Linked DNA regions of Tamandua tetradactyla. The protein of the gene in region 1 purifies or fractionates together with the protein of each later gene. This does not show direct contact. Links are inferred from orthologs where the notes say so. Each region holds a gene or a part of one and is shown in the gene's direction. Other genes may lie near its edges.

What was found.
Region 2: the proteins of BCL7A (region 1) and PHF10 purify together in Homo sapiens (affinity purification with mass spectrometry; 3 studies listed by BioGRID and IntAct, counting the BioPlex papers as one, with this or other methods). This does not show direct contact. The link is inferred for Tamandua tetradactyla from reciprocal best matches to the Homo sapiens genes BCL7A and PHF10.
Region 3: the proteins of BCL7A (region 1) and DPF2 purify together in Homo sapiens (affinity purification with mass spectrometry; 3 studies listed by BioGRID and IntAct, counting the BioPlex papers as one, with this or other methods). This does not show direct contact. The link is inferred for Tamandua tetradactyla from reciprocal best matches to the Homo sapiens genes BCL7A and DPF2.
Region 4: the proteins of BCL7A (region 1) and DPF1 purify together in Homo sapiens (affinity purification with mass spectrometry; 3 studies listed by BioGRID and IntAct, counting the BioPlex papers as one, with this or other methods). This does not show direct contact. The link is inferred for Tamandua tetradactyla from reciprocal best matches to the Homo sapiens genes BCL7A and DPF1.

What each region holds. Positions count from the first base shown.
Region 1 is NC_135331.1:9,905,306-9,912,150, reverse strand, and holds the start of BCL7A (B-cell CLL/lymphoma 7 protein family member A), read left to right. Parts: upstream 1-3,842; 5' UTR 3,843-4,029; coding exon 4,030-4,121; intron 4,122-6,845.
Region 2 is NC_135337.1:73,934,989-73,942,099, reverse strand, and holds the start of PHF10 (PHD finger protein 10), read left to right. Parts: upstream 1-4,100; 5' UTR 4,101-4,115; coding exon 4,116-4,208; intron 4,209-5,249; exon of another isoform or gene 5,250-5,259; coding exon of another isoform or gene 5,260-5,352; intron 5,353-7,111. UniProt on the Homo sapiens protein: Involved in transcription activity regulation by chromatin remodeling. Belongs to the neural progenitors-specific chromatin remodeling complex (npBAF complex) and is required for the proliferation of neural progenitors.
Region 3 is NC_135335.1:9,220,142-9,227,690, reverse strand, and holds the start of DPF2 (zinc finger protein ubi-d4), read left to right. Parts: upstream 1-4,547; 5' UTR 4,548-4,641; coding exon 4,642-4,673; intron 4,674-7,549. UniProt on the Homo sapiens protein: Plays an active role in transcriptional regulation by binding modified histones H3 and H4. Is a negative regulator of myeloid differentiation of hematopoietic progenitor cells. Might also have a role in the development and maturation of lymphoid cells.
Region 4 is NC_135342.1:25,754,749-25,761,993, forward strand, and holds the start of DPF1 (zinc finger protein neuro-d4), read left to right. Parts: upstream 1-4,229; 5' UTR 4,230-4,292; coding exon 4,293-4,321; intron 4,322-5,678; coding exon 5,679-6,022; intron 6,023-7,245. UniProt on the Homo sapiens protein: May have an important role in developing neurons by participating in regulation of cell survival, possibly as a neurospecific transcription factor. Belongs to the neuron-specific chromatin remodeling complex (nBAF complex).

The sequences.
Region 1 (6,845 bases):
ACTCTGCAAACTGGCCAGGCACTGCTGGATGCTAGCTTCCCTTTCTGTAAAAGGAAGGAGGTGGCCTCAGTGATCTGTTCCTGGTGCACTTCATGTAGGGATTTGAGGGTTCCCATCCAAGTTTCCCCCCTTTGCTAGGCCTTGCTAACGACCTGCTCCCCAAACACCAGGGCGCCTCTGTTTATAAGACGATGAGCTGCTTCTGTTACAAGTTGCTAGGTGAGGACCAGCGCTGCAGAGAAATGCCAAAGCTGGGACTGCATTTTCCTCACAATTACGCATCTCTGTTCCCGAGATGGAAACCTCCTCCTCCCCGCAGCCACCGACAAGCCTCCATGCGGGAGGAACGGTTACCAGCGGGAGCAGAGTTGAATTTAACAAGCTAAGCAAAAGGAGTAGTTTGATTTCAGGCTCTAGCATGTGTCATGACCATGCCAGAGATCATCAGGTCCTCTATTTGATAAATCTCTTCCAGTACATAGCGCTTCTTATGTGCCCAGCGTGGTTCCAAGGGCTTGACAAAAACTAACGTGTTTAGTCCTTGTAAGTGTCATCATCCCCATGAGAAAGAGGAGGCATAGAGAGGAGACGTTTGGCACAAGAACTAAATAACTCAGCTTCTGTAACCCCAGGACCACTTCTTTAACATGTCTACAATAATGGCTAATATTCCTAGAGAGCTGGACTTCCAGTTTCTGGTAATGGGCTATTCAGATTAACTCTCTAGCTGAAAGCAACTGAAAATGCTAGAAGACGGTACTTTTAAAAACATCTTCAAATCCACAAGGTGATGACAAGACAATAAAACTGAAGGTCAAAAGAACCATAAAAGATAATCCTGTGAGGAAGCCTTTTTACCTAGCATGCTTAAACTTGAATGTGAAAGGTCTCATGGGGCAAGGGGGGCCAGAAATCAAAGTCCAAGGCCCACACTATGTGGGAGACCCTACCCACAATAACTTGGGACCCCACTGGGCTCTATCAGTAGAATGCTGGTACAGGTTTAATAACCAGCTCTGGATGGGGGAGGGGAAGGAGGGCCTGCTTTTGGTGTTTGCCAATTTTCCTGGTGTAAATCCCACTATCTTGGCTGATTTCAAGCCATCAGCATGAGGTCACTGAACAGAGAATTGGGAAGCAAGGCCTGCAAGCCAGCCACAGCGCATCATGTACTCTGCCCTCAGGGTACGGTAGGCAAACCTGTCTTACACAATCATGCAACTCGTATGTGCATCACCTGGGTGGTCCAGGGAACCACAAGTCCTGCACTTGGATTAAGGTGCTCCTAAACCAGCAGTGCCCTCCGGAGCCTGGCAGAAGCAAATGTAAATCAGCTCTGGAGGACGATACCTTCGTCCCAGGCCTCAAATTATCCCTATAAACAATTTTTTTAAACGACACTATCCAGCAGTCAGAGAGAAACAAGCAGACCACAGGAAATAGGATACCATGGGCAAGATCCAGCAGAAACAGAACCACCAATACTACAAGTATTAGAATTTTCAGACTTTGAAATAGTCTGTGAAACAGCTGTACTTTTGCTGAAAGAAACACAAGTTTTAAAATATCTGCACGGGACAGGAAATTATAAAAAGTCACATACTAGATTTGTAAAAGAATATCTGTGGAAAGCTTTACGGCTTGATGGGGAATCAAAAACGCAAATACCTTCACGGGCCAGGAAGGTAACACAAAGGAGCAAAAGCTGGTGAGTTGGAGAGTTTTTGTCTGAAAGACACCAGGGCTCCTCAACCGACTGTTGCCCATGTGATAATGGGGTCCCAGTGTTGCCAGATGTGCTATTTCTAGAGAAGCTGGATATTGGGATATATTTCTTTGTTGTTTGTTTTTGCACGGGCAGGCACCAGGAATTGAACCCAGGTCTCCGGCATGGCAGGCGAGAACTCTGCCTGCTGAGCCAACGTGGCTTGCCCTGTTTGTTTTTAATGTGATAAAATACCGAACATAAAATGGACCACTGTAACCTTTTAAAGTATACAATCCAGTGGCATTAAGTACCTTTACAATGTTATACAGCCATCACCACCATCTCTCATTCCAGAATTTTATCATCACCCCAAAAGGAAACCCTATACCCATTAAGCAGTTGTTCCTCTATCCAGCCCCCACAACCACGAATCTGCTTTAGGTCTCTATGGGTTTGCCAATGCTAGATATTATTTCACATAAATGGAATCATATGATATTTGTGACCTTCTTAGCTTAATGTTTTCAAGGTTCATCATGTTGTAACATGCATCAGAATTTCATTCCTTTTTCTGGCTGAGTAACATGCTATTGTGTAAATTTACAACATTTCATTTATCCATTCATCGATTACTTGTGTTTTTGACATATCTTCCTATTTTGTAATTCAGATATATATTTTTCAAGTTCTTTGTGGTCCAAGGTGCACATTTGCTAGCCAGATCCAGAGGGCCGGCAGGCTTATATGACCTGCTGTTACACATTTTCCCACTTAAGTCTCGGAATGATTCTCTCAGGTACATGCTCTTATCTTCAGTTTTTGCACACTAGGAACTTGAGTTTCAGAAAGATAACATGGAATGCTTGGGACACAGCCCGGCAGCCTCCCACTGCAAACTTCAAGGGAATAGTGCCTGATACTCAAGACGAGCAGACCCGAGATGTAGATTATGGCTGTGACCTTGGATTTAACCTCTCTGGGACTCAGTTTCCCCACCTGTCAAATGACTCACATTGGGCTAGTTTCTAAGGTACTTGGGTTGCTGACAGCCTAGTGCTCACCTTTCCAGGCCTACCTCAGGCCTGACTTAGAGGTGGTCAAGTCTAACCAAACAGTTGCAGCTAAACACAAAGTCATGGCACACAGATTCCTCCACTGAGCTCAGTCCTGGGGCCCACTTAGGAGGAAACAACCCCGGAGAGTCTCAGCATAGATGGGACCAGTCTATTTTACCTGCCAGAGCATCTATACTAGGACCAGCACCTGGTCTGAGCCCTGTACTTAAATCAGGGGGGGCAATTAGTGGCTTCCATTTAAATTACGTTTCGCCGACAGAAACCCCAGTAAGGGAATCCCTCATGTTACTTAGGGCTAGGGCAATACTGTTCTCCAGGTGGAAAGGAAGGAAAGGACCCTATTAAAATGCTGATAACAAGTGAGATTTTCCTGCGCAGAAACGTATCTAATAAGGTCGAATGTTCCCCGTGGCCCGCATCGACGACCCTGGTTTTCCAAAAGAGCGAAGCGTGGAGGAGCCAAGGGTTTTTAGCCCGTGAATTTAAACCGGGAAGAGGGCCAGCAGCGATCCAGAGTCCTCAACTCTCCGAGAGCAACTCGCTTCCCGAATCGCCGCCTTCAACTCTGAGAAGTCCAGAGCCCCACAGGAAACTTGCATTATTGCAACCGCTGCAGCAGACCCGGGGCAGGGGAAAGGCCGCCGAGCTGGCTCCTAAGGAACGCGCGCCCTCCGCGCCCGGCGGCCCCGCCAGCCTGCCCTCCCGGGGGGACCCCACGGCCCCCGAGGCCTCCGAGTGAGTGCCCGCCCGCCTCCTCCCTGCACGTGCCCTGCGGGAGCCGGGGGCCGCCCCTCGCAGCCTCCCGGTGTGGGCGTGGAGGAGTGTGGGGTGTGTGTATGTGTGTGTGTGTGTGTGCGCGCGCGCGTGTTGGTTGGGGTCGGGGTCCCGGGCGCCTTCTTGGGCTGGGGGCAGAGCTTCCAGGGCGCGAGGCCGGAGGCTGGGGGCTGCTGCCCGGCGGCGGGCGCCCGGAGGCCGCACTGCTGGCGGCCACGGCGGCGGCGGCGCTGCTCCCCCTGCTCGGTGCAGCTGCCGCCCGGCGCTTGCGCACTGGGCCCCGGGCGCGCGGCGGCACCAGGCTTTGTGTGTGTGTGTGTGTATGTGTGCGTGAGGGTGTGTGTGTGTATATGTGTGTGTGTGTATGTGTGTGAGTGTCTGTGTGAGTGAGCGAGCGAGAGTGTGGCCGCCGCGGAGCGCGAGCAGGACCGGCGGGCGCGCTCCCCTAGCCTCTCTCTCCCCGCCAGCACCATGTCGGGCAGGTCGGTTCGAGCCGAGACCAGGAGCCGGGCCAAAGATGATATCAAGAGGGTCATGGCGGCTATCGAGAAAGTGCGCAAATGGTAAGCTGAGGCGCCTCTGCGCCCGGGCGCCGCGGCGGCGAGCAACCCCGAGCCCGGCTCCCGCGAGCCCCGGCGGGGCGACGGCGCCGCTCCCGGCCCGCGCCCCCCGCCCCCGGCCTCCCACCCGGCCGCGGCGCCCGGAGTTGGAGAGGGCGGGCGGGCGGCGCGCGAGCCGGGTCACCTGCGCCCGGCGGGGGCCGCGGCCACTGCCCAGGTGCGCTCGCGCCGGGCGCCCACCTGGCGCGACGGCATCAGCCTGGAGGCGGCGGGGCGCTCCGGGCCGGGCGGCGGGGACCCGCGGGCACAGCCCCCCGCCGCGGCGCTCGGCTCCCGGGAGCGGGGGAAACGCGAGGCCGGCCCCAGAAGCCATTTCGTTTTGTGCAAGTCACATGAAAGCGGCTTCCCGCGCGCCGGGGCTGAGATGCCGCCGGGCGAGGGGCGCGAGCTCCATTGTGCCGGCACTGAGCGGGCCCGGGGCCGCCGCCGTCTCCTCCCCGCGCGCCCCGGGCGGCGCCGCGCCGGGTCCCCGCGCGCCCTCGGCCCCGCCGGGCCTCGCCGCCGCGCTCCGACCTGCCGGCCTCCCGCCCCGGCGCGCTGGCTCCCCCGCTCCCCGCCTCCCAGGCCCCGGCGCCCTCGAGTCTGCGGAGTTTGCAGAGCGCGAGCCGTTTAAATTTAGCGCTTTGGGCTGCCTGGTGAGAGGGCTCCGGGCGAAGGAGGGAAGCCGGGGGCGAGCGCCGGGAGCGAGAGCTGCCCGCCGGGCCCCAGGGCGCAGGGGCCCCCGCCTCCCACCCTGCCCTGCCCGGCGCGCACGGGGACTCGGGCTCGGGCGCGGCCCGGGGCGGGCCGAGGGAAGATTTTGGGTCAAAAACCGGTCCTGGGCCGCGTCTGCTTTTCTAAAAACAGAAGCTCATGTTTGTTTTGCGGAGAGAGCCGTTGTTTTTGTTCTCAGCTCTCCGCGCGGGGGGCCGGGGATGTTTGGTGTTGGGCGGACGTGGTTTTCGGGCTCAAATTAGATCCAGCCTGGCGTGGCCTCTTAATTAACAGGATTTGAACGTTTCCACGGCCTGGTGGGGATGTGACTCCGAAACGGCCGGAGGGCCAGGCCCGAGGCCCCGGAAAGATCACCGCCTGGGTCAGACTTGTCCGAAAACTCCCGGCTCCCTGATTTCAACTTTTTTTTTTTTCTTTTTTTCCCACGGCTTCTCCAGGGTCCGGGAGGGAGAGGAACAGCTGCGACGCGGTCCCTGAGTGTCACTGCCCGCGGGCTTCTCCTGACCCTCTATTTAAAACCTTGAAACTGGGCAGGCCCCCGTGGCAGGCTATGTTTATGTTTGGGGGTGTAACTTCTTGGTAAGCCTCAGCCTCTGAAAACCACTGGGGGCGAGTCTCCCGGTCCGGCGGTGTCACAAGTTAGCTGTCCGTTCTGAGTCAAACCCAACAAAAAGAGGCAAGAGGGAAATCAATAAAGCCCACGTGCTCCGGGGCCTCCTATGAAAGGGCTGTCTGCGGATGGCCGGATGCCCGGCAGTGGGCTGGGTTTGGCTCCAGTGGGACAAAGCATTTTCAGAACCGTGAGAAGGGGAGGCTTTGCAAAGTTCAGATCCAAGTCCGGAGCTCCCCTGCCGTGCAGGGCGCCCCATGCCCCAGTGGAGCCATTTAAAAATGGCAGAAACAACTGCAGGCCAAGATACACATATGTAGGTGGGGAAAACCCAGCTACCCCCTCAACCGTGGGTCCCAGTGGGGAAGGCTAGAGTTGGCCCCTTGCAGAGACAGAACTGGTATCCGGCCCTGTGTCCCTTCTGTCACCTTCCTGAGTGTTAGGAAGGAGCCTGGGGCAAGCTGGCCCTCTCTAATCACAGAGGCCTGGTGGGGGCTCCCTACCCCAGGTTGGTGCATGGCTGGGGGCCCTGCACCCTGCCGGCTGTTCTGCAGAGAGGGCAGATGGAGAGGTGAGGGGGGGGGTCTAATGGGTGGGGGGACAGAGCCTTTGATCCTCGTGGGCCCAGGGACTGGCCAGGCCTGTGACTAGAGGGGCTGCTGGACATCTGTCCCTCCCCTTCCCTCCCTGTGTCCTAGGAAGTCTCATGCGTTGAGATCTGACCGTTGAGCTCCCATTCTACTTCCTTGCTTTGACCTTGGACAAATCCTGCATCTTCTCTAAACCATTGCAGAAAGAGGGTCCCCGGGCTGCCTGGCTTTCGCTTAGGGTTGTTGAGGACCAAATAAAGCCACGTCTCCAAAAGCCCCATTCTGCCTAGGACACGAGATGTTATGATGAGGCGGGTTCCGTAGGTCCTGGCCTTGCTGACTGGGTTGTGTGTTGGCCCCCTCCTGAGCATAAAAGGCTCTCCCTGAGAAGCTGCATCGCCCCTTCTCTGTGCCTTTAGAATGGGTCTCCACTTTGCGGTGGAAGCTTTGGGGTGTTTATTTATTAACTGCATGGCTGTCAGCCGTGCATTTCACTGCTGGCTGGGCCTTAGGTTTGCCAGTCAGCAAAAAAAAAGCGTAGGATGTCCAGTGAAATTTGAATTTCAGATCAACAATGATTTAAAAAAATTTTTTTTTAGAATAAGTATGTCCCTTGCAATTTTGGGGTCATACTTACACTAAGTTATTTCTTGTTTACCTGTAACTCTGTTGGGTGTCTCCTGCCCTTTCTGAGGGAGAATCCCTGTATCTGGCATAGCATTTGGCCTGTAAGTGTGGGGTGGGGTTTCTCCT
Region 2 (7,111 bases), on another chromosome or scaffold:
CCTTCCCCTACAAAGGCTATTATGGCTGTACCTGCTGTCCTAGAACCCTTTCCCTGCTCCACCTCACTATCAGCCTATATAAAAGGGGTGCATACACCCTGAAGACACCTTACTGTCAAACTAAATATTCTGGTCCATAACTTCAGAACTGATTTTCTGCTGTCCTCTAAGAACCATGACGATCAATAATAGCAAATGCCACATAAATGTTTTCTTCAGCCACTATCACAAATCCAAACACCCTGTGATCAGACTCTGCTTCTCTAAGCCCGGGTCCTCTGGCATGGCAGGCAAGCGTTCTTGCCTGCTGAGCTACCGTGGCCTGCCCTTCTCTGAGCTTTTTATGGTGGCTTATGGAACCTTCTTTATGTGGTTCAGCAAACTCCTCTAGATGCCCAGCCTCTCTTGTATTCTGAGTTTCTTTCCTTAGCAACAACCTGATTGTTATGAAGGGTCCCAATGCAGCCTTCCCGAGTGAACGCTGTAGTTCCTCATGCCTTAAAACCAGAAGGCAGGTAGGCAACTCTTTTGACCTTGAAAAACTTTGAAATTTTATGTTATTAAGAGAGTTGAAAATGACTGAAGCAAAGCTAAGACAGGACAAGACCTAGGCCTGCATGAAATTATTATAGGAATAATACAGAAAAAGTCCTACAAATCTATAAATATAAAATAAGATAAGCTGCTTCAACAACTTCTGGTTTAAATTTCTCTAGGAAAAGAAAGCCATTTATTATTAAAAATGGAGCATTTCTTCTACTGTGGATTGAAGAATGTAATAAAAACAACAAAAACCCCCAATCAGTTTGGCTAGCATTCAGGCCAAAGTGTTGAATTTAGTTGAAACATTGGAAGAAAATGGTAATTGCAAAGAGACTGAATTTCTTTTACTGCCAATAAAGACTGATTTCATTGTATCAGAAGTTGAGATGAATTGTTTAATTTTAAGCCCTCTGGTAAAGCTGCTATGTGGATAAGGATGTTGCTGGATATGTCTCCCCAGATTCCACAGATTATTTAAAGCAGGTGGTTGTCTCAGAGGAAGTGCTGCTGGTTAAAAAAAGAAAAGAAAGAAAGAAAGAAAAAAAGAAAAGAAAACTTCACATCAAAGAACCCTTCGAGATATTTCATGACACTGAGAATGCAAAGGATAAAACGTTGGAAGCTTATCCAAATTTAGAAAGGAGTATGATAGTTTGTCAAGGCATAGAAAAGATACTCATCATATCATAAGTTACAGATTGAGAAGAAGGCAAGCACAGTTTGAACTACTCTTGATCAGTTTTTTAAATAAAGAAATAAAACAATTCTGTTTCTAATATTTCAGATTGCAGTATACTAAATATTAGTTTATTTTTTCATTCCCTATACCTTTATAATCAGCAGAGCATTTTTAAGGTTTTGACAGTAAATTTTTAAGGCCACAGAACAATTTTCCTCGATGATCAATATTCTCTTGGCACTGTATCAATTTACATGGCCATTTTTATAGTCCTGGACTAGCATGCAAAGCTAGGATTTCCTAGCTTCGATTCCTTGACCGACTCACCTTCAGTGACCTTTTTCTTCACTCCCCTTTGGTCATCTATTTCTTGGTTTACATGCTAGACGTTTTTATCACTGATATTAATATGACCTCTACAATCTTAATTTTAAGTATGTTATTGTCACACAATTATCTCTTGTCCTTCCAGCTCACCACCTTCATTCTCATTGACATGCCCAATTCATTGGCCTATTTCACTGTTTAATATCCTTTTTGTTTGTTTGTCCTTTTTCAGCTTAGATTCCATGGCCCATATTTATAATCACTTCCTTATACACACACTCCAAATTCTTTTGTCCTTCCTCAATAAGGGAAATCTATTCCTAGATATATGCCATTTTATCTTTTTCCAAGCCTACATCCAAGCAGCTAAAGTTGGCTGAGAATATCTCAACCAGGCTGAGGGATTTCACTTTAAATCCCATGACCACAAACATCAAAGGGTCAAGCCACACTGCCTGGCATCCTAGAAAATTTGCTTTCCCACTCTCTGAGACACTCTTTTGCATGATCTCTCTCCTCAAATCTCCTATATGCCTCTCCACTACTCACTTTCAGTTGAAGCCTCAGCTCATTAAGATAAGGGAAGCTATCAGAGGTTCCACCACCCTATGAACCTACTTGCATCTGCAGCAACATTCTCTGTCTTCCTTCCAGTAACAGAATGGATGACTAGTGCTTCTCCTATCAAAGGCTTGTCCCAGCACTTGTGTTCTGGATGATCCTATTCCTTCTTGCCTTCTCAAGAGTTGCCTTCTGTAAACTATCTCTTCTCTCTTGCACCAAGACTTTCCCCTTTATGTTGAGTCATTCTTGTCAGCTATGAATTTTCTCCCATCTTAAAAAACACAAAAAACAACACCTCTCCAGCTAACCCTTTCTCTATGGCTCTTGACAATAAAACTTTACAGAAGAATTACCTGTATTCTGGCTCCAATTTCTAGCCTCCCATTCATTCTCCAGTCGATTTCAGCCCAGCTTCTGTCACCACCTCGCTACTCAAACAACTCATGTCAAGATTGCTAATGACCTCAAGTTGATCAAATCACTGGACATTTCTCTGTCCTCATCTTATTCAACTTCTCAGATGATACACATAGCTGACCAGCTCCACTTTCTGAAGTATTTATCTTCTTTGCTTCCAAGACCCCACACTCTGTTTTCTTCCTCCTCCTTCTCTATTTAACTTCCACAAGGATCTCTGGCCTCCTTTGGCTTGGATCTTCTTCAAACCTCAATTTACATATTCTCTCTATGTGGTCTTCTGGAGTTTTATGGCTGTTTTTCTTCTTCACCACTGTATTGTCAGTGTATAACTCAGGGCCTAACTTAGTGAACAATAAGGAAGTATTTGATGTATTAATGAATAATTGTTTCCTTACATCCCATCACCCAACCCAGTTCATAGTGTGCCATAAAATATTTGTGGAATAACTGAATGGGTGTTATTATTCTTATCTGAAAAATGAGGAAATGGCGGGTCAGAGGCATTAGGTAATTTACCTATGATCACACAACAAATAGCCGGGATTTAAACCAGTCTTAACTCTAAATTGCTTATTTTCTCCATTACATCGTAATGCCTCTTTGTATATTTCATCTCAAATTCCTAGAACCCTCCTTCATTTACTCTATTCTCTAGCCAAACTAGAATAACTGATGGTACCTTGAGTATGCCTCATATTTGCTGATCTCTCAACTTTTTCTGGGTTTAGAACCCTCATTTTCACTTCCAACTGAACATATTACTATTGAGTTGAAGTCTTACCTATTTCTTGATACTTTAAAAATTCTATCTTGACTTTTAAATCTTAATTCTTCTAATTGCAATTAAATTTTCTCCCACCTGAGTGGCCTTTAACAACAATTGCCTCATATTCTTTTAGTGTTGAGGCAGCACATGGTCAGGGCCTGTCACCATACGGTGCCTTCTTAACCCTGTCTACCTTGAACACCGAAGGCCAGATCACTATCTGCTGACTTGGAATGAGATGTTTTAAATTTGCATTTCATCTAGAGATAGACTAGCCAAGGAAGAAGAGTACAACTAAATAACTGAATATTAACTTTTTTATTGTATAGTATAACATATAAAAGAAGCGACCTAGTGAACCCTGAGAAGTTGGATTAACACTAAATTCAAATACAACAGCTGCCATTTTCTTGGCGCTTCCTCTGTGCACTTCACAAACCCGATTGTATTGCCCCTATTTTACAAATCAGCAAATTTGGCCTAAATGCCCGGTCCCAAGCAGGAGGCAGCGCCAACGTGAAGGCCAGCATGGATCGAGGCTCCTGGAGCACAACGTGGTGACAGGACCCTGTAAGGAGTTCTCCCCGCAGCTGTGTCCCAGGGCCGGGTGCGGCGTTCCACTGCAACTCCCGATCCCCGGACCCCGTGGGCGTTTTCCCGGCAGCTACGGGTCCACTGGCCCTGTGCGGCTTCCTCCCCTCAGCTCCGGGTCCCCGGACCCCGCGGGCGTTCTCCTGGCAGCTCCGGGCCCTCCTCCCGCGTTCGCTAACACGGCCGCGGCGGCGGTGCACACCACATCTGTGAACACACAAAAGCATGTGCAAGCAGTGGAATTTCAGCTACTTTGACATTTTACGGTTTTTGACTTGCCTTGGGTTCCATGTGGAAAGACTTTTTGATGAAAGGAAGGTAAAGACTGAATCGGAAAGCACACATTCAGTGGGATGTGATTCTGTGGTCCGACGTGCACGTGGAGCTTGGCGGCGATGAGGACGCGAGTGGAGAACAAAGGCAGGGCCGAAGACCCGGGCGAGGGCCATTCCCGCGCCGCGGCGGAACCCGGCGCACGCCTGGAAAAGCGCGTGGGGGGCGGCAGAGCCCAGACTCGGGGGCGCTCCAGAAGGGGCAGGCGCCAGAACCCCCGAGCGTGAGCGCAGAAGGCCCCGGGGGCGGGAGGCTGCCTGGGGCGCGGGAGGCGGTGAGTGCAGCGGCGAGGACACGGGGAGGGGTTCGGGGCCGACCGAGGGGTCTCCGCGAGGCCGGGATTCTGCCGGAAACCTGGGGTCTTTTGGGGCCGGGGGCGGGCGTCTTTGGCAGGCCGGGAGGTCTTTGGGAAGCCGGAGGGTCTTTTGGAGGTCGGCGCTCTGCTGGAGACCGAGGGGGTCTTTGGGAGGCCGGGGGGGTCTTTGGGAGGCCCGGGGTCTTTGGGGAGCTAGGAGTCTGTAGGAGGCCGGGGGGTCGATCGGTAGCCGGGGTCTGCTGGAGGCGGAGGAGACCCCGCGGAGTGGGCGGCGCGGAGAGGTGGGAGCCAGGCGAGCGAGCGGGGCGGGGGCGGGGGCGGGGCGCGGCGCGGGCTGCGGGCGCGGAGAGGAGCGGTGGGAGGAGAGGGCTGACGTGAGGAGGGGGCCGAGCTGCGCGCTCTCCATTCCGCTCCGGCGCCGCGCCGCGCCTCTGCGCTGCCCTCCGCTCCTCCGCGCCGGCCGCGGCGGCCGCGGCGGCCGCAGCGCTGGCGGCGACCATGGCCGTGTCGGTGGCCGCGCCGAGCCGCGGGGCGCGCGGCGGCGGGGCGGCCCGGGGCGGCGGCAGAGGCCGGCCTCCGGGAGGCGGCGGCGGGCGGGCGGAGGGGGCGGGGCCCGGGGAGCGGACGCCGCGGCGGCCTCTCCGCGCGGCGGCGGCGGCCGCGGCCAGGACTAGGCGGCGGCGGCGGCGGCGGCGGCGCGGGGGGCTGGGGCTCGGGCTGATGGCGGCGGCGGCGGCGGCGGTCCCCGGGACGGTGCTCTCCCCGCGGCTGGGCGACGGCGACGCGGCCATCCCCGGAGCGCCGTCCCCGAAGGTGAGGAGTGGCGGGGCCCGCGAAGGTCGGACGGGGAGGGGGGCCCCAGGGCCGGTCCCAACGGCGGTCTGGCCGTGCGCGTCCTGGCGGCCGGGGTCTCAGAGAGTCAGGAGGTGTCAGAACCGGGGGCCCAGGGATTTGGGGGTTGTTGTCAGGGATCTCAGGGCTGGGGTCCTCAGAGCCGGGGGTCCTCAGAGAGCCTTGGGGCCTCAGAGCTGGGGTTCTCGGAGAGCCGGGGCCTCAGAGTAAGAGGGTCCTCAGGGAACTGAGGGGTCTCAGGGCCAGGGTCCTCGGGGAGCCGGGGCCTCAGAGTAGGCGATTCTTAGGGAGCCGGGGCCTCAGAGTAAGCGGGTCCTCGGGGAGCCGGGGGGGGGGGGGGGCTCAGGGCCGGTGCCCTTCAGAGGCGGGGAGTCCACGGAGCGGCCCCCGAGGGTTTGAGGTCCCGAGCCCCTTCCCGCCTCGGAGAAGCAGGAGGAAGTGCGTCGCCGGCAGCTCTGAATACAAGTCCCGCCTCCGCCCCAGGCTCGGGCGGGGTCCCCGTCCACTCATTTGGGGGTACTTTCCCGGCTTGTGTCGCGGCTCCGGGCCGGAAGGCCGCGTGACCTCGACCCGGTAAAGACGAAGAGACTTTCGCGGCGGTGGGCTCGGCCTGACCCTTGGTGACCTTCCCCGCTTGGTGGGCTCGGCCTAGCCTCGTGACTCCCCCGCGGGGTGGGCTCGGCCTGACCCTTGGTGACCTTCCCCGCGGGAAGCCGGAGGAAAGCCAGGAGGAAGGAGAAGGGGTTTGTGTGTGAGGAGACTGAGCCGCTTCCCAGACTAATGGAAGGAAAATTCTACTTTTGTGTAGAAATAAAACTTTCCTCGTAAATGGGGAGAGTTTTTCCATATTAGCTTAGGATAGTATAGGTATATTTGGAAAGAATTCATTTGACAAATATTCCAAAATACTTGAGCTTTTATTAAAAAATGATTGTAAACAACTATAAAAAAGCCAGACAGTTCAGTTAGTAAACTTAGTAGAACTAAATTAGTAATAATAGCCATTCTAATATTTCTAGTGAAATGTTTTCACTTTTGTAGTTTGTATTGTTTTCATTACAGTTAAAAGGACTTAGAATTTTGAAGTAAAAGATGAGTGGAGAAAAATTTGGATGAACTGTACGATGTCATGAGTTTTTTCATTTTGTTTTTTTAATTTATTACAGTGTCATTAATTTGAACACTTGTGTTTCTAGAGTTTGTATAGTCGATTGTGACAGTGTTACAAGGGAGGAATGATTTTTAAAAATCTCAAAATTTAATTCAGAATTTAAGAGTTGGAATTAGAAGATGCTGAAAGAGAAACAAAGCCTAAGCGCCTCTCTTTCCCCCAGGAAGCAGAGCTGTGGGAGCCTGGTTTGCAGGGCAGGTAGGCCTGCGTGTCCCACCGGGGCAAGTAACTGGACCACATGCCTTTCTCAGCCTGTTGGGTGTGGGGGCTGCTCCCAGCACCTGGGGTGTACAGTGTGCCTCCTGGAGGCATGTCCCCAGGTGGGCACACAGAAGCCTTCACTCTGGAGGAGGGAACCACCTGTGACTCTGAAACACAAAGGTCTGCATTAAGTACATTTCGGAGTCTTTATTATTTTTTTATTTAGGTCTTGTCTTTCTTTTTTTTTAATTTTAATTTTTGATCATTCGGTTCTACATATATAATCAGTAATTCACAATATCATCACATAGTTGCATATTCATCATCATGATTATTTCTTGGAACATT
Region 3 (7,549 bases), on another chromosome or scaffold:
ACATTGATCCAATTAGCAGGTGAGCCTTGGGGATAAGGTGGGCAGGCTCTGGAAGACACCTGGTCCATCCCCATGCCAGGCAGGTGGTGGGGATCGATTGGGGGAGACCCAAGGGTAACAAAAGTATGCCCCAGGCTTTGTGCAGGGGTTTAAGGGCTTCTCCAGCTCAAAGGACCTGGGTAGTGCAGGAGGGGCTGCAGGGCTGCGGGTCTGATGGCTGATCGGAGGTGCCAGCTCATCAGCAGCTGCCTAGTGAGTGGCCACAGCATCCTTGGTGTGGCTCCAGGTGCTGGGGACTCAAGACAGACCCAGTCCACTCGAGGCTCACACTCGAGTGGGGCAGAAGGAGAATAACTTTGTCAACAAGAGAGGTGATTTTCAACAAGAGGGACCACCATGGAGGAAGCCCTGTGATCAGAAAGGCTGAAGATGGTGCTGGCACATTAAGGATGGGAGGTGATTTGGGGTGAGCCCCGAGGGTGACTGGTTGGCTTAGGCTCCAGGATAGACAAAGGCACCGGGATGAAGGGCAGAAGAGCTGTCATGGGGTGAAAAGAGCATGCCTGGGCCTCTGGATGTCACCTGGAATCTGGCCCAGGCTGTGAGTCTCAGTTTCCCCATCTGTAAAATGGAGTCCATGATATCCACTTCACAGGGTTGGTGGGAAGAGTACAAATGATGTCTATTAATTGCCACATGAAAGGTCTTCAAAAATGGTTTGGGGGTGGAAAGGCAGGACTTTGAAGCTGGAGAAACAGGTTTGCATCAACTTATAGGAGTACAGCTTGTAAGGCTAAAGCTGAGGTACTGGGGAACTGCAGAAGGACTTTAAGCAAGAAAGACACACGATCAGACCCACACAGGCCCAAAGATGAGAGAGGAGGAAATCGTTGCAAGCCGGCTGGGCTGGGCCGTGGGGAAGGGAGGGGTGCTAAGGCGCGGCTTGGTGTTCGGAGGCCAGGGCAGGTCTCCACTGGACCCTTTCTATTCTCAGGCCGTTCTCTCCATCCTGTGACCCTGCAAATCCCAGTCCCCCACCCACCCACCCCAGCCTTTCTGGCCTCCAGAAAAAGCTGTGTGGACCTTATTTCCAAATAAGGTCACATTCACAGGTACTGAGGGGATAGGACCTCAACATAACTTTTTGGGAGACACAATTCAATGTGTCCTCTTCTGTCTTGGGAGAGGAAGACAAGAAAAAAGGACATTGTCCTAAGGTCTTCACCCAGCTGGATGGCAGCACCTTACCCTGGACCTGAGCCAGAGTAGTCGTGGAAGCAAGGGGCATGCTTGCCCTGGATTCCCTGGGACCTCTCCCCACCCACCCTGCATCAGGCAGCAGCAACCCTGGGGAACCCCTTGGGGCTGCCCTATCAGGGTGGAGAAAGGTAAGGGACCTGCAGCAGCTGATGCACTGAAAGGATGTTTGCTTATATCAAGGGAGCCAGGGAGAGGGAGGAAAAACAGCCTTCCCTCTTCAGCATATCTCATAGGGTTCAGGTACCATGTTCCACAAATACACACAAAAACGGATTTCAGAACTAAGAAGAGAAGATGTCGTTGGAAAGCCAAAAAAAGAGAAATGTCCCTACAATCCACTGTTCTGAATGTTCAACATGTCCTTATTCGAGTTACCCTTCAAAAAGAGAAATAACATATCTAGCCTACCTAATATAATGCAGTTATCCCTATCTCCGTAAAAACACTGTCACTCGTTTGTTTGTTGGATATGGAATGTGTGTAAATAAAATTCGTTTTTAAAATACATTCGTTCTTTTTCCAAAGGGAGAAACTCAAAGTCTGGTCAATTATCACAGCCCCTTCCAAGTCCAGGATTTCTAGGCAATATGCCTTCTTCCTTCACTCGTCCCTTATCAGCCCATCTCAATATCTTGCAAATTATGAAACTACATTGTAAGATGAATTAATACCAAGACAAAGTGGGGGAAAGGGAGAAAAAATCTGGAATTAGAATATGTTTAAATAAAATACTTGTTGCATCAAGAGAAGAAATACATGTACAAGTTATGGACTTTTTCTACCACAAAGCTGTAGCCACCCAGTCCACGAACTCTTTATCCTCCATCAGCATCTTGGCCGTCAGGGTCCTTTACCAGCGATGTGTCTCCGAACTTCATTTTGAAGTAATCTGAGCTCTTGGTGGATTTCCCTGTAGAGAGTTGACTTTTCCCCAGAACATTTAGTTTTGAAACATTGAAAATAGATTCACGAACATTCCTATACCTTTATCTAGATTGGCCAGTTATTGCCATTTTGCTACGACTATTTTAACACTCTGGCCATCAGTGGGGACCCTCTTTACTTTCTTGCCTGGTGGCACTGAGAATGACCCATCGGCAGTCTCAGCTTCTAGGTTAGTGGAATCGTTATTGCACCCTCTGGTGGAAGCATTTCTCCCTTGGGTCAAAATCTGACTCTAAATCAGCCAGAGCCCAAAGTTGGAGGAACAGGAAACAGACATTGTGCAAAAGGATCATTAGTTGAGACTGCAAGGGGATGAGTCCCACTTCTGCTCTTTGGTTCCCATACCCACATATTCTGCCTGTAGGAGAAGCACTATATTCTGTGTTCAGAGATATGACATTTCTTAAAAGGATCCTAAAAGTACTGAAAGTCATTGATGCTGGGCTCAGAAACCGGCTTTCCCATGATGTAGAACTAGCCTACTAATTATTACTCATATTTGTAATTTAAACTTTTAATTGAAATATGCATAGAGAGGAGTGCACAAATCTTGTGCAGATCAATGATTTTTTACAAAGTCAACAAACCCATGTAAAGAAAAAGGACATTAGCAGCCTCTCACAGCCACCTCGTACCCGCTTCCCAGTTATCATCTGTCCAAAGATAACCACTCTTCTGACTTCTGGCCCCACAGTCAGTTTATCTGATTTCTTGTGTAACTATGTGAATGAAATCATATAGTTTGTCTTCTTGGAATCTGGCTTCTTTTGTTCAACATTAAGTTTTTACTATTCCCTCACGTTGTATAGCAGCAGCTTGTCTTTTCCATTGATGTTTAATCCATTCTACTACTGTTGGTGGATATTTGGGTTGTTTCCAGTTTGGGGCTATTATGGAGACTACTGCTGTGAACATTCTTGTCTTTTGGTGTATACATCTAGGAATAGAATTGCTGGATCATAGGTATGCTGAAGCTGTGAGTTTAACTTTAGTGCTAGCATACTTTCGACTCCTGTGTTGGAGTCACTTTTGATGCCCCTTGTCCCCACAATCGTTTGGATCTCAGAGGTAAAAGAGTGCACCGGTGTTGCCTTGGGGTTTTTCTTCCAAGGTGTGACAGCCATTCTGCAAATTCTGGTGCTGCTGCAGAGAACAGCATGATAACTCACACTGTCATCTGGCCAAGTACCATTTTAACACACAGTGATGGCAGAATGCAGCCTGATTCTGAAATAGTAAAAGGGGTGGGGGGTGGTAAGTGCATCTTGGCATTGATAAGATATATCGGAAAAATAATGGGGACCAAGGAGCAAGCCCTGGGGAGTGTGATGGTTATAGGTGGGCCACAGAGCTGGCAAAAGACGCCAAAGGGACTGTCGGACAGCCGTGAGCGTGTGATGTTTCAGACTGGAGAAGCGTTCGAAAAAGGAGGAAATGGTCAATGGTGACACCAGACTGCTAGGTGGATGAGGACAGGAAACAGCCCTCCAAATCTGTCGCGATGGATGTCACAGTGACTTTGTGAAGAGCCGTTTCAGGGGCCTGGTGGGTACAAAACTTTCATTAAACCAGCCAGAAGAGAGCCATGGAAATAAAACAGCAGAGATGGGGGAATAAGGGATTATTTGCTTTGAAGGGATGAAAAGAAAGGGAGTGATAAGGGAAGCAAACATGGGCTTAAGGAAGAGCTTTTGATTTTTTTTTTTTAAATAAGGGGACATAGAGCCATGCTTGTACGCGGAGGAGAATGTTTCACAGTGCAGAAATGAATGGTACAGAAGAGTGAAGGATAATTACAGGAGGGAAGTTCTTCAGAGTCTATGTTGGAGGGAATAAAGTTTTTTGAGGAGTAGGTAGGGACTGGTCTTAGGACCGGGGAGAAGAGGTGGGTACCAGAGACTTTCGGTGGGAGGGTTTGGTGGCAGGAAGATGAGGTAACTTTTGTCAGACCCCAATATTCCGGCCAAACAAATGTCCAGCTCTGGATGTTAACTCCCTAAAATGGACACACGTTTGTGGGCAAGAGCGGACTGTGAATGTTCTTATTTTCAGTTAGCTGCCCACCAAGCTCTGACCTAGGGCAAAGGGTTAAACATGAGGTTAAAGGTCGGCTTCGGGGAAAGACGTAGGTGCTCCCTACAGCCCTTTCTCGGGAGGGGTCTAAATGGAAGAGGCGCGGCTGGGCTGGAGCAGGAGCAGCGGGGCGCGCGCCCGTCTCCCGTCGCGCCTGCGCGTTGGCTCCCTTCGGCTCCCTCACACTGTTTCTCCCCAGCCTGGGCGAAGTTCATTCCCCCTCGCTCGTTCTCGGGCGCGCGCGCGCGCCTGGCCAGCGCCTGCGCAAAAGAACGGAGAAACTCGCCCCCACCCCGAGCGTGCCCGGCGCCTGCGCGCTGCGGGCTCCCGGGCCTCCCCTCCTGAAGAAGAGGAGCAGGGAAGATGGCGGCTGTGGTGGAAAATGTAGTGAAGCTGTGAGTGGTCGTTTCTTTCTCCCCTAGATCGGGAGGTCTTGTAAGGGGCTTGGGAGTGGAGGCGGTGTGGGGAGGGGATGAGGCGGAGAGAGAAATATGCCTGGGAAGGCCATGTTGCTACTCCTGGCGGGGGAGGGCAACAGAAGACTCCGGAGAAGACGTTGCGCTTCTTTGGAAACTTGGGAGGCCCTGTGGGGGGCACACGGGAGCCCCTTACGGCGGAGTCTCTGTGGGGCTGTGTGGACTGAGCGCTCCTTCAGGGCTGACGTAGGCGCCCTTGCAGCCTACGAGAGGTCCGCAGGCTGAGGCTCTCTCCCCGGGTCGCCTCCGTCCGGAGGGGCTGGGCCGAGGCCCGGGCGGCCCAGGCGACGGTCCGGAGCCCTGGAGTTGAGCCGCTTCCCCGCGACTCCCAGTCGCTGCCCGCAGCCGGCCCCCGAGCAACAGGCTCCGGAGCCGCTGAAGGGGAAAAGGGCCGTGGGGCTGTTTGATTCTAACAGCCCCATAACGTCGGGGTACCTTGGGTGTCTGCTACCCAGGACTTAAGATGGTAGTGGGAAGAATTTGTTGGAAAGCAGAAATGAAAGAACTTCAGAGGAGCTGGCCTTTGTGCTGGCCATTCCCAGCCATCAACAAACAAACAAACAAACGGGAACTGGACGGGAGCAGTCCAGGACGACTTTATAGCCTGAAGGGACATCTGGGTCGCCAGTCTTCTCCTATGCTGTACCATTGTGCTGGTCAGTTTTCGAACAGAATTAAAGTTGATGGTTGGGAGAGAAATGGAGAATGGCCTGTTGGTTGCTTCCTGTGAGTTAAAGATGCTTTGGGGCTTGATTAATCCAACCTCCTTCCTGAAGAAAGGATTCTGAATGAGGTTAGAAATGTCTTAATGCCCCGTGGGCCGGTAGGCAAGCTGTTTTTAATGGATAATTTGGGCTTGGTGCAGGAGTTGGAAAATTGAGAGGCATCCACCTGTCCAGCAAGCCGTTTAGATTTTGAGAACTATTCTAAGTTTAGGTTTGGGAACTATTCTAAAGGACTGACAGCTTCTCTGTCTTTGTCATGGGCTAAGCCCCACATTTCCCAAGAGCCTTTTTAAAGGATATGTTGCTTCTCCCCAATGCCTGGAGCTTTTCTTCTCCCCCCTGCCTGGAGTTTCCCACTTCCATTAAGCTAAGTGCCTTCTCCTCTTGTGGTTCTTTTTTTTTTTTTTTTTTTTTTTGACTTGCTTTCTGCTTTATCCTGCTACCTCTTTCAGCCACCCCTCCTCCCAACACATTATCTTTCTCTCTGATCTGCCCACTCTAGTTTCCCTGCTCTCTCTTCAGGCTGACATTTTCCTCAATTTAGCAATGACAATGTTGATCTGCCATTTATATAGTTATCCTTCCTGACTCAGACGTTCTGTCTTTGTTTCTCTGCCCTTCTCATTGTTGACTCCCCCACTCCCATTCTAAGGGAAGATGTTATACAGATTTCCCGCTTCCCAAGAGTCAAAGCGGCCACCTTGGAAATCTTGCTGTGCCGAAGGAATGTCATGCTTGCCTAGGTTTTGAGAGTTGTAGGTAATGAGGGTCTTTGTGTTGGAAAACTTTCTTCAGGGAGACAGGGTTGCCAATTATTTCCTGTGTTGTCAGAAGGTAGTAGCAAATAGAGCATGACTTCTCATTTTTCTTTAAAGACCTGTAGAGATTGTGAGGGTCACCAGCCACTGATTCCTGAGTATGGATAATAAGAAACCCACTTTCCCCTCCTCAGTTCTAGCTGCAGAAGGCTGCAGACCACAGTTAATACGTTTCCCCCGGCACCTCCTCTTTAAGAGTAGGTGTCCATTCTTCCTGTCCCATTCTCACCCTGCAAAGAGTTGCTCTTCTGGCACTTCTCTTGATCATGTGTGTCCTGTCTTTTGACACCTGAGGTTATATCCAGCCAGGTATTTTCTTGCTTGCATCTTATTCTTGAGAGAATTTTCCTATTTGTGAATTCTCTGTCCATCCTAAATGGTCTCAGGATTGAAACAGTCTTTAAGGAATCTTACCAAAGAGAAGCCAAGATAAAATGATAGTATTAAAAAGCTGTAGCTGCTGACAGATTTTGAAACGGAATTAAGTAACAAAATCTGGGAAATTCTGTTTGCTTGGAATTTCTTGCTACAGGAGCCCTGAGTTCTTAGAAGCTCTCTTTCTCCCTTTCTTGCTTGCTCTTCATTAGATCCTCCCTGCCCCTTAAATATTTCATTCTCAGCCCTCATACCCCCTTTGACAGTTTACCCCACCCTTTGAAATACCACTTAACTCACAAGAGCTTTTACAGAACATCTCTCATCCATTCCTCAGAAACCATTTCTAGCCTCCTTGCTCTGACTTTGCAGCCCTCAGCCGGTCTGCCCTTCCTTCCATTTGGCTTCCAAGTGTCAGTATCAATTCCCATCAGCAGAAACAAAGGAGCTGCTGCACTCAGCCTTGTTTATCCAATTTCCCTCTGTGGTGAGGACGTGGCTGCCTCCTAAAGGCAAGCAAATGTGAGCCTGCTCCTTTCTCACCATTCTCCAACACAAGGTTTGTGCCTACCTCAAATTATGGTAATTATAGCTTATTGAATCAAGCCAGGCTGTACTTCTGGGGTCGCTGTCTGTGTGTGTGGTATGTATCTTTTTCAGCTGCTGGGCACACACTAAGCTGTGCTGTATTTTCCTGTTGCACTGCACTCAATGAAAGCCCCCATCAGATTCCAGAACAGAGTTTGCTGGGGTAGCTAGACTTATGGACATAAGCAATAGAGACTTGGTCTGTCTAGCTTCTCATACTAGGAGTCCCCTCTCACAGGATCCTGATATGTCAAAGCTTATCTAGTCTACCCCCCGCACCCCCTGGTCT
Region 4 (7,245 bases), on another chromosome or scaffold:
CAGCAGCCAATGGACGTGCGGTCTTCCCGGCGCCCCCTGGGACGTGTAGTCCCTGCAGGGGCGCCCCCGGGCCCCGCTGCGCGCCCCTAGACTCCACGACCCGTCGTGCGCCGGAAGGCGCGGGGATTGGCCGAGCCCCGCCCCCGTCCCGCCCCGCTCCGCTCGCGCTGCAGCCCCAAGAATGAATGAAATCGTAGCGCGCTGGGCGGCAGAGCGGGCGGCGCAGGCCGGGCTGGGCCCGCGCGCGGCGGCAGCGGCGCCCCGGGCCGGAGGCGGCCCCGCTGAGCGGGCCATGGCCACCGCCATTCAGAACCCGCTCAAGTCGTGAGTGTCTCCGCGGGCCCCCCGACCCCGAACACACCCAGGAGCCCCTCCCCCGCCCTCGTTGGGGAGGGGAAGCAGCGCGCAGCTGGTAGTTGAATGGGGATGCCCAGCACACCCTCTCGCCCCTGGGGGTCCTCCACCCCGTATCACCTCCTAGGGTTGGGGGAGGGAAACCCTCCAGGGCCGCAGGGGTGCCTCTTCTTTGTCGCTGTCTGTGAAGGAATGTGGCACCAGCTGGGGGGCGGCCGAGGCCGAGTTTCCCCACCCAGGGGGTTTGGAGCGTCCTCTCCTCTATCTCACTGACGGCGCTGGGCCTGCCTCCGTATAGAGTTGGGAGGACCTACCTCGATCTCGGGATCCCCACCATCCTTCTTTCCCTCAGTCAGGCACCTTTCTCTCTTTCTCCCCTCTTTCTCTGGGGACCCGGGCCCGAGCGTCTTTAGGGTGGGAGCTGAGATGTCGGGTGTCCGGGTTATATTCCTGCTGTCTCCACTCTTTCCTCTTCGGATCTCCAGCTTTGGTCCAAGACACCACGGTCGTCTCAGACCGTAGGATCCCCCCACCCCCCACCCCGCAATCCCCGACCATATACCTCTAACAAGAGCATCTCCCATCCTTCTGGGGACCGATGGCTCTGGAACCCCATCCTCCGAGGATTCCCTCCCTTTCTCCCGGTCCGAGCGTTAGCTTCTACCTGGGCCCAGTGGTCGGGAGCCAGGACGCCTGGGTTTGAGCGTAGCTACCCGGTCCCCTTCCCCCTCCTTGCCATCCCCGGCTCTATCCTTCTCTCTCCTTCCCTCTCTCCATCTCTCGCTCGCTCGTTGAGATCCTGGACTACGGGTCCCAGCTCTCCACCACCCCCTTGCCCCAGGCCTTGACAGCGGGCTCCGAGTGACAGGCGCGCGGCCGCTCCCGCTCTCTCTACCCGGCTGGCGAGCGCGGCGCTCCCCTCCCCCCTCCCCTCCCTGGCCTGGGGGAGGAGGCGGAGGGCGAGTAGCGGCGCCGCCGCACAAAGGGGCCAGGGCGACCTCCCCCACCCTTCCCTCTACTCCGTGCATTCGCAGCCTTGACCTTGAGCATCGAGTGCTGAGGGAAGGAGGGGAGTGGGGGCAACCCCGCGAAGGGTCGCGCCTGATGGCTGTACCAGAGGCCCCCCAGTCTTTGCTGGCTTCTGAGGGCGGGAGGGGGGAGGTGTTGGGAGAGAAGGGTGTGTGTGTGGTGGTGATGGGGGGGGAGGCGGGGACTTACAGCACGCGCCAACACCGGTGGCTTTGCGGTGGTTTTGGAGGGGGTGTATGAGGTTCAAGTCATCCTGAAGGGGAGTGTGATTGTGACACCCATCTGCTTCCCTCTTACCCTCAGTGGCACACACCACATACACACACACACACACACACACACACACACACACACACATGCTTTTCCTAAGAGGGAGACCCTCAAACTGGCTGGGAAAGGGGGTTCTTATGAGGGTTGGTAGATACACAGGTATTGGGATGCCCCTCACCCAAGGGCAGCTCACTGCAGGGTCTGGAGACCAGGGGGTTGGCAGTGTTAGCGCCCATTTTGCTCTGGCCTTACCAGGGATCTGCAGAGGCCATGGTAGGGGCCCACATGTTCCTGAGGAATGTGGGAGTCAGATCCCTCTCAAGCAGGAGGCTGGGGAATGCAGCTCTCAGCAGTTCTGACTGTTTACACTCAAACCCCAGTTTGAGCCACTAATTTTCTATTCCCTCAGAGCCTCAGTTTTATCATCTGACAATTGGGTGCAATACTAGTTCTTTTTACTTCATGGGGCTGTTATGAGGCTTACATAGGTGACATTTATAAAGCACTGAGTTGAGTCTGGCCCTGACTAAAGGTAGATAACGGTGGTAGGTGGTAGTATCATGCTTTATCAATATTGCTTTGTACTGTGGGCACTGGGGGTGGGGCTGGGGGTTCCTGTGTGTAGGAGAGTGTGGGGGGGAGGGGATTGCAGAAGCGACTAGAGGTGAGGAAGGGGAGGGAGACCCTCTCCCAGTGTCAGCCTGGATCTGTGGGTGGACCTGGGCCTCTAAGGAGGGGATGGGGTGTCTACACTCAGGCTTCGCTTGCTCAAATTGATGTGAGGGTTGTGGAGTGGGGAAGGGGTGAGTTGGGGTGTGTGTGGCTCCTAGTGTAGAAAGCAAGTGCAAGAGGGTGTGCTAGGGATCTGTAGGGTGAAGCAGGTGAGAGAAGGTGGCAAAGGCTCCCTCTGAGTGTGAGCCAGTGGGTCGGCAGGGGTGAGTTATGGCATGGCCACCACAGGGGCCAGGAAGCCCTGACCTTAGGGATGGCATGCCAGTGTCCCTCACTCACTCTTCTCACCCACCTTGCCACCTACTCTTGGCCAGATAGAAGCAGAGACTCCCTCTCCCCGGAGTTAGGAGGATGAGGGGGGGTCTCAGGGTAGAGGAGTGAGCTGTGTATGGAGAACCTGAGGGGTTCTTTAAGGGCGTGTGTGTGTGTATGTGTGTGAGTCACTGAGTGACAAAATTGATGAAGACTAGCGTGCCCCCCTCTCCCCATTTGCAGTAGGGCTCCCTGGCCGAGGAGGGCATTGTGGGCGTGAATGAAACTGTCCATCCATGTAGCCTCTGAATCCTGGATGCAAACTCTGGACAGGGAGGCTCAGGTGGTATGTGTGTGTGTGTGTGTGTGTGTGTGTGTGTGTGTGTGTGTAGAGACTGGATGAGTGTGCGTGACTTGGTGGGCCAGCTCATTCTCTGGGGATTCCCTTAGGGTGGTGTCAATGTGGGTGACAGTGGGAGAAAGATGGGGATAAACTACTTGGGGATGGCACCTGGGTGAGCCAGGGGCCGAAGGTTGTGTTATCTCGGGCACGTACCTCACCTCCCTGTGCTTCAGGTTCCTTGCCTGGAAAATGGGGATAAGAATGTTATTTCCCTAGAAGGCTGCTCTGGGGATTAAATGCCATGTGTATAGGGCACAGTGTCTGGCACATAGTGCTCAGTAAATGTAGTCGCTCAGCAAATGGATGTTGAGCATCGCCTGTGTGCCAGGCAGAATCCATTCTAATAACCATTAGCCATTTTCCCTCAGTGCATATCAGATCCTCTGTGGAATGGATGAATTTATTGTGCCCTTACTATGTGTCGGGCCCCTTTTAAAACACTTTACCCATATTTACTTACTTCATTCTCACAACAATTCTATGAGGCATCATCCCCATTTTACACAGGAGGAAACTGAGGCCCCAAAAGATGAAGTTACTTGCTGATGGCCAAGTGGTAAGCAAGTGGCAGAACCCAGAGGTGGCCACAGCACCTGACCAGTGTCAGGGTTGAGGAGGGTGGGGCGGCTGGGAGAGTGGCTGGGGCAGAGTCAGTCCCGAGGGGAGTAGGCACTGGGGCGTGGAGGTCGCCGAGCCGCGTGTGTGCACACGTTGGTGGGAAGTCTGTGTGGGAACCTGTAAGGTGTCTCTAAGTCTCTTGGCATTGAAGTGTGTGCGTGAGTGTAAATGTGAGTGCAGCTGTGAGTCTCTATGAAGGGGTCTGTGTGAAGCGGTGTGGGCGGGTGTGTGAGTGTGTTTATGTCTGGGTGGGCACCTGTGAGTGTATGAATGTGAAAACTGCGGGGTGTGGGCGTGGGTGAGTCCAGGTGTGCTTGTGTGAGTGTGTGCATGTACGTCTAGGATGTGGGGCGAGTGAGCGTGTGTGAGGGACGGTGGGCGCTCCCTCGGGCCCCGCCTCGCGGGCCCCCTGCGCTTCGCCCCCTCCCTTGAGGCCGCCGGGTCCGCGGGGCCCCCAGGCCCGGGACTACCACTCCCAGCATGGCCCGGGCCGGCCCGCCCCGCCGCGGTGATTGGTTGGGGCCCCCGTCCTCCCGCCCCCGGGAATGAATGGATGGGCTGCCTCGGCGCCCGCCCGAGCGCTGGGAGGACCGACCCGGCGGGGACCTGCTGGGGGCAGGACCCGGGGAGCAAGATGGCCACAGTCATCCCCGGCCCCCTGAGGTGGTGCGGGCCGGGGGAGGGGGGAGGGCGCGCGGGCGGGTCTGCGCGGGCGGGTGTGTATGTGTGGCGGCCGGGGGTGGGGCCGCTGTGGTGTCTAGGGGGCTGTCACTGGGTGCGGGGCTGCGCGGGGGTGCGTGTGTGACTGTATGCCTCCGGCAAGAAGGTGTCCTAGGCGCCGCTCCTGGCGGGGTGGAGGGTTGGGGATCCTCGGGGTCTTCGTTGGGGAAGGGGTTCATCATCCCTACCCAGCAGGGGTCCGGGAGAAGGTGAAATGGCCCGGGGGGTGGGGGCCTTAGTAAACTCGACTGAAGTCCACACTACCTTTGTCTTGGAATGCAGTGTGTGTGACTTATTTGCGTGTGTGTGTTTAATATGTGTGTGATTTATTTTATTTTGCACTATCTTTTGATATTTGGGTCTTTGAGCATGTACACATGTTCTTAGGAACTATGCAGGATTTGTCTCTGTTCTCTGTTTTTGGATAAGTAGGCATATGTGTATTTGTGTTGTAGAGTTTTGTGTGAAGATGGGTAGTTTGTTTCTGTGTTAATATATATGTATGTATCTTTGTGTGTTTGGATATGTGGTATTTGAGATGTTGGTTTCTATGTTGTGTGTCTTTTTGAATGTGTGTGTGTGTACCCTGTGTGAATCTGTGTGATTTCTTTGTATTATATGTCTGTATATGATTCCGTGTGATTTGTTTGTGCTATGTCTTTGGATATATGTGTAAGTGCATATGTGGTTGGTTTCTTTCTACTGTTGTCTTTTTGACATTTGTGTATCTGTGTGTGTTCTGGAGTGCATGTGTGTGTGTGTGTTGTGATGGGTGTTTCCATGTTGTGTGTTCTTATGTGATTTCTGAATGGGTGATTTGTTTGTATTGTGCATCTTTGGATATGTGATGTGTGTTTGTGCATGGATATATGTGTGATCTATCTCTTTCAACAGTATTTGACGGGATATTTGTGTTTTTCAGTATATGTGTGAGATTTGTCTGTTTCTCCTTTGTGAGTCTTGGGATGTGTCTTTGTGTGTGAATCCTGTGTGTCTATGTGTGATTTATCTGTGTTATCTTTGGATGGGTCCTGGTGTGTTTTTGTATGTTTCTGTATTGTGTGCATCTACTTCTTAGTTGGAGGCCTTCTTGAGTCCCATATTGGGGAACCCTTGACCCCTTGGTTCTGTCTGCTCCCTCCACTGAGGGTCCAGGACTGGCAAAGAGGGAAGAGGTGAAATAGGAGGGATGGGTCCACCCATCCCTGACTCTGGGAAGGCCGGGCTGGAGGAGGGGTGCTGCGTGACCAAGCGCACCTACCCTTGCTGACAGCTGCCCGCCCGCTCACCCGCCCCGCAGCCTAGGCGAGGACTTTTACCGAGAGGCCATCGAGCACTGCCGCAGCTACAACGCCCGCCTGTGCGCTGAGCGCAGCCTGCGCCTGCCCTTCCTTGATTCGCAGACCGGCGTGGCCCAGAACAACTGCTACATCTGGATGGAGAAAACCCACCGCGGGCCTGGTACCCGCCGGGTGGGCAGGGGTGGGGCGGGGCCGCAGCTTCTTGGCCGCATTCTTACCTCCCTCCTCACTCCAGGTCTGGCCCCGGGACAGATCTACACGTACCCTGCCCGCTGCTGGAGGAAGAAACGGAGACTCAATATCCTTGAGGACCCCAGACTCCGGCCCTGCGAGTACAAAATTGGTGGGTGGAGCAGTGCCTTGTGCCTGCTGGGGCCCCTAGTGTAGGCTAAGTGTGTGTTGATCTCAGTGTGTGTCTGATCCTCTGGCTTTGTGTCCCTTCTAGTGACTGGTGGGCTGTGTGTTTTGTCCAAGTGTGTCTGGGCATATTCCAGAGATTCTACAGTTTTCCCTGAGTGTCTGAGCTTCTGCTTGTATCTCCTCCTAAGTGGGCCTTGGTGTATTTAAGGGCACAGTGGTCTCTATTACGCTGTGTCTAGGTCTATTAAGTTTCTGACCTGTCTCCCTTCCCTTGTGAGCCGGGATGTATCCGATGCCTGGCCCTATCTCTTCTGGTAGGTACCTATGTGTGATGGACTATCCATCTCCCTGGGTGTGTCCTGATGTGGTGGGGTGTCTGTATTACCTCTTGGATATATTGGAGTGTGTCAGAATGCCGGTTGTAACTCTCCATTTGTAGCAGAGTCCATCAGTGTTGGCGTCTCTTTTCAGGTGTAGTAGAAGCTTTATTTCTCCTTGTGTGAGTCTGGGCTATCAGAATATCCATATCCATTTCTCTTCCTGAGTGTGTCTAGGTATATTGGGGTGTCTGGGAGAATCTCTTCCCATTAGTATCTGGAGTACAAGGTGTATTTCTGCCTGTGTGTCTTGTCTGTCAGAGCATTTGGCCTTATCATTTCTTGAATGTGTCCAGGGATATCAGAGTGCTGGCTATTTCTCTTCCCTTGTCCAGGTGTATGCTAGGGACTGGTTGTGTCCCTCTATGGGTCTGGGTGTAGCTGAGGGTTGGACAGTATCTCTGGGTGTCTCAGAGTGTCTCCAAGGGTCTGAATGTGTCTCCCATGTGTGGACAGGTATATCCAAGGGTCTGGGTCTATCTTTCCCAAGCATCTGGGTGGATCTGAGGGTTCAGGTATAGACCTCTCTCTTTGTGAGTCCAACCACCTCAGATGATCTGTATCTCCCCTGTGAATGTTCCCCTGTATCCAGTTTGAGTGTATTTCCTCATGGGTGTTTGAGTGTGTGTGAAGGTCTGGTTGGTTGTCTCTTCCCCAGGGTCTGGGCATCATTCCCAGGATGAGTGGCTGAATCCCTGCTTCTGTTGCTGGTTGAGTGTGGGAAAGCCTCTTCCCTCCCTCCCACAAAGAGCATGCTCCCTGCTGCCATGTGCAATGTGAGTCCTCCAGGGTTGACTTCTCCACTTGACCCCCCTATGGCCCTGTCCCC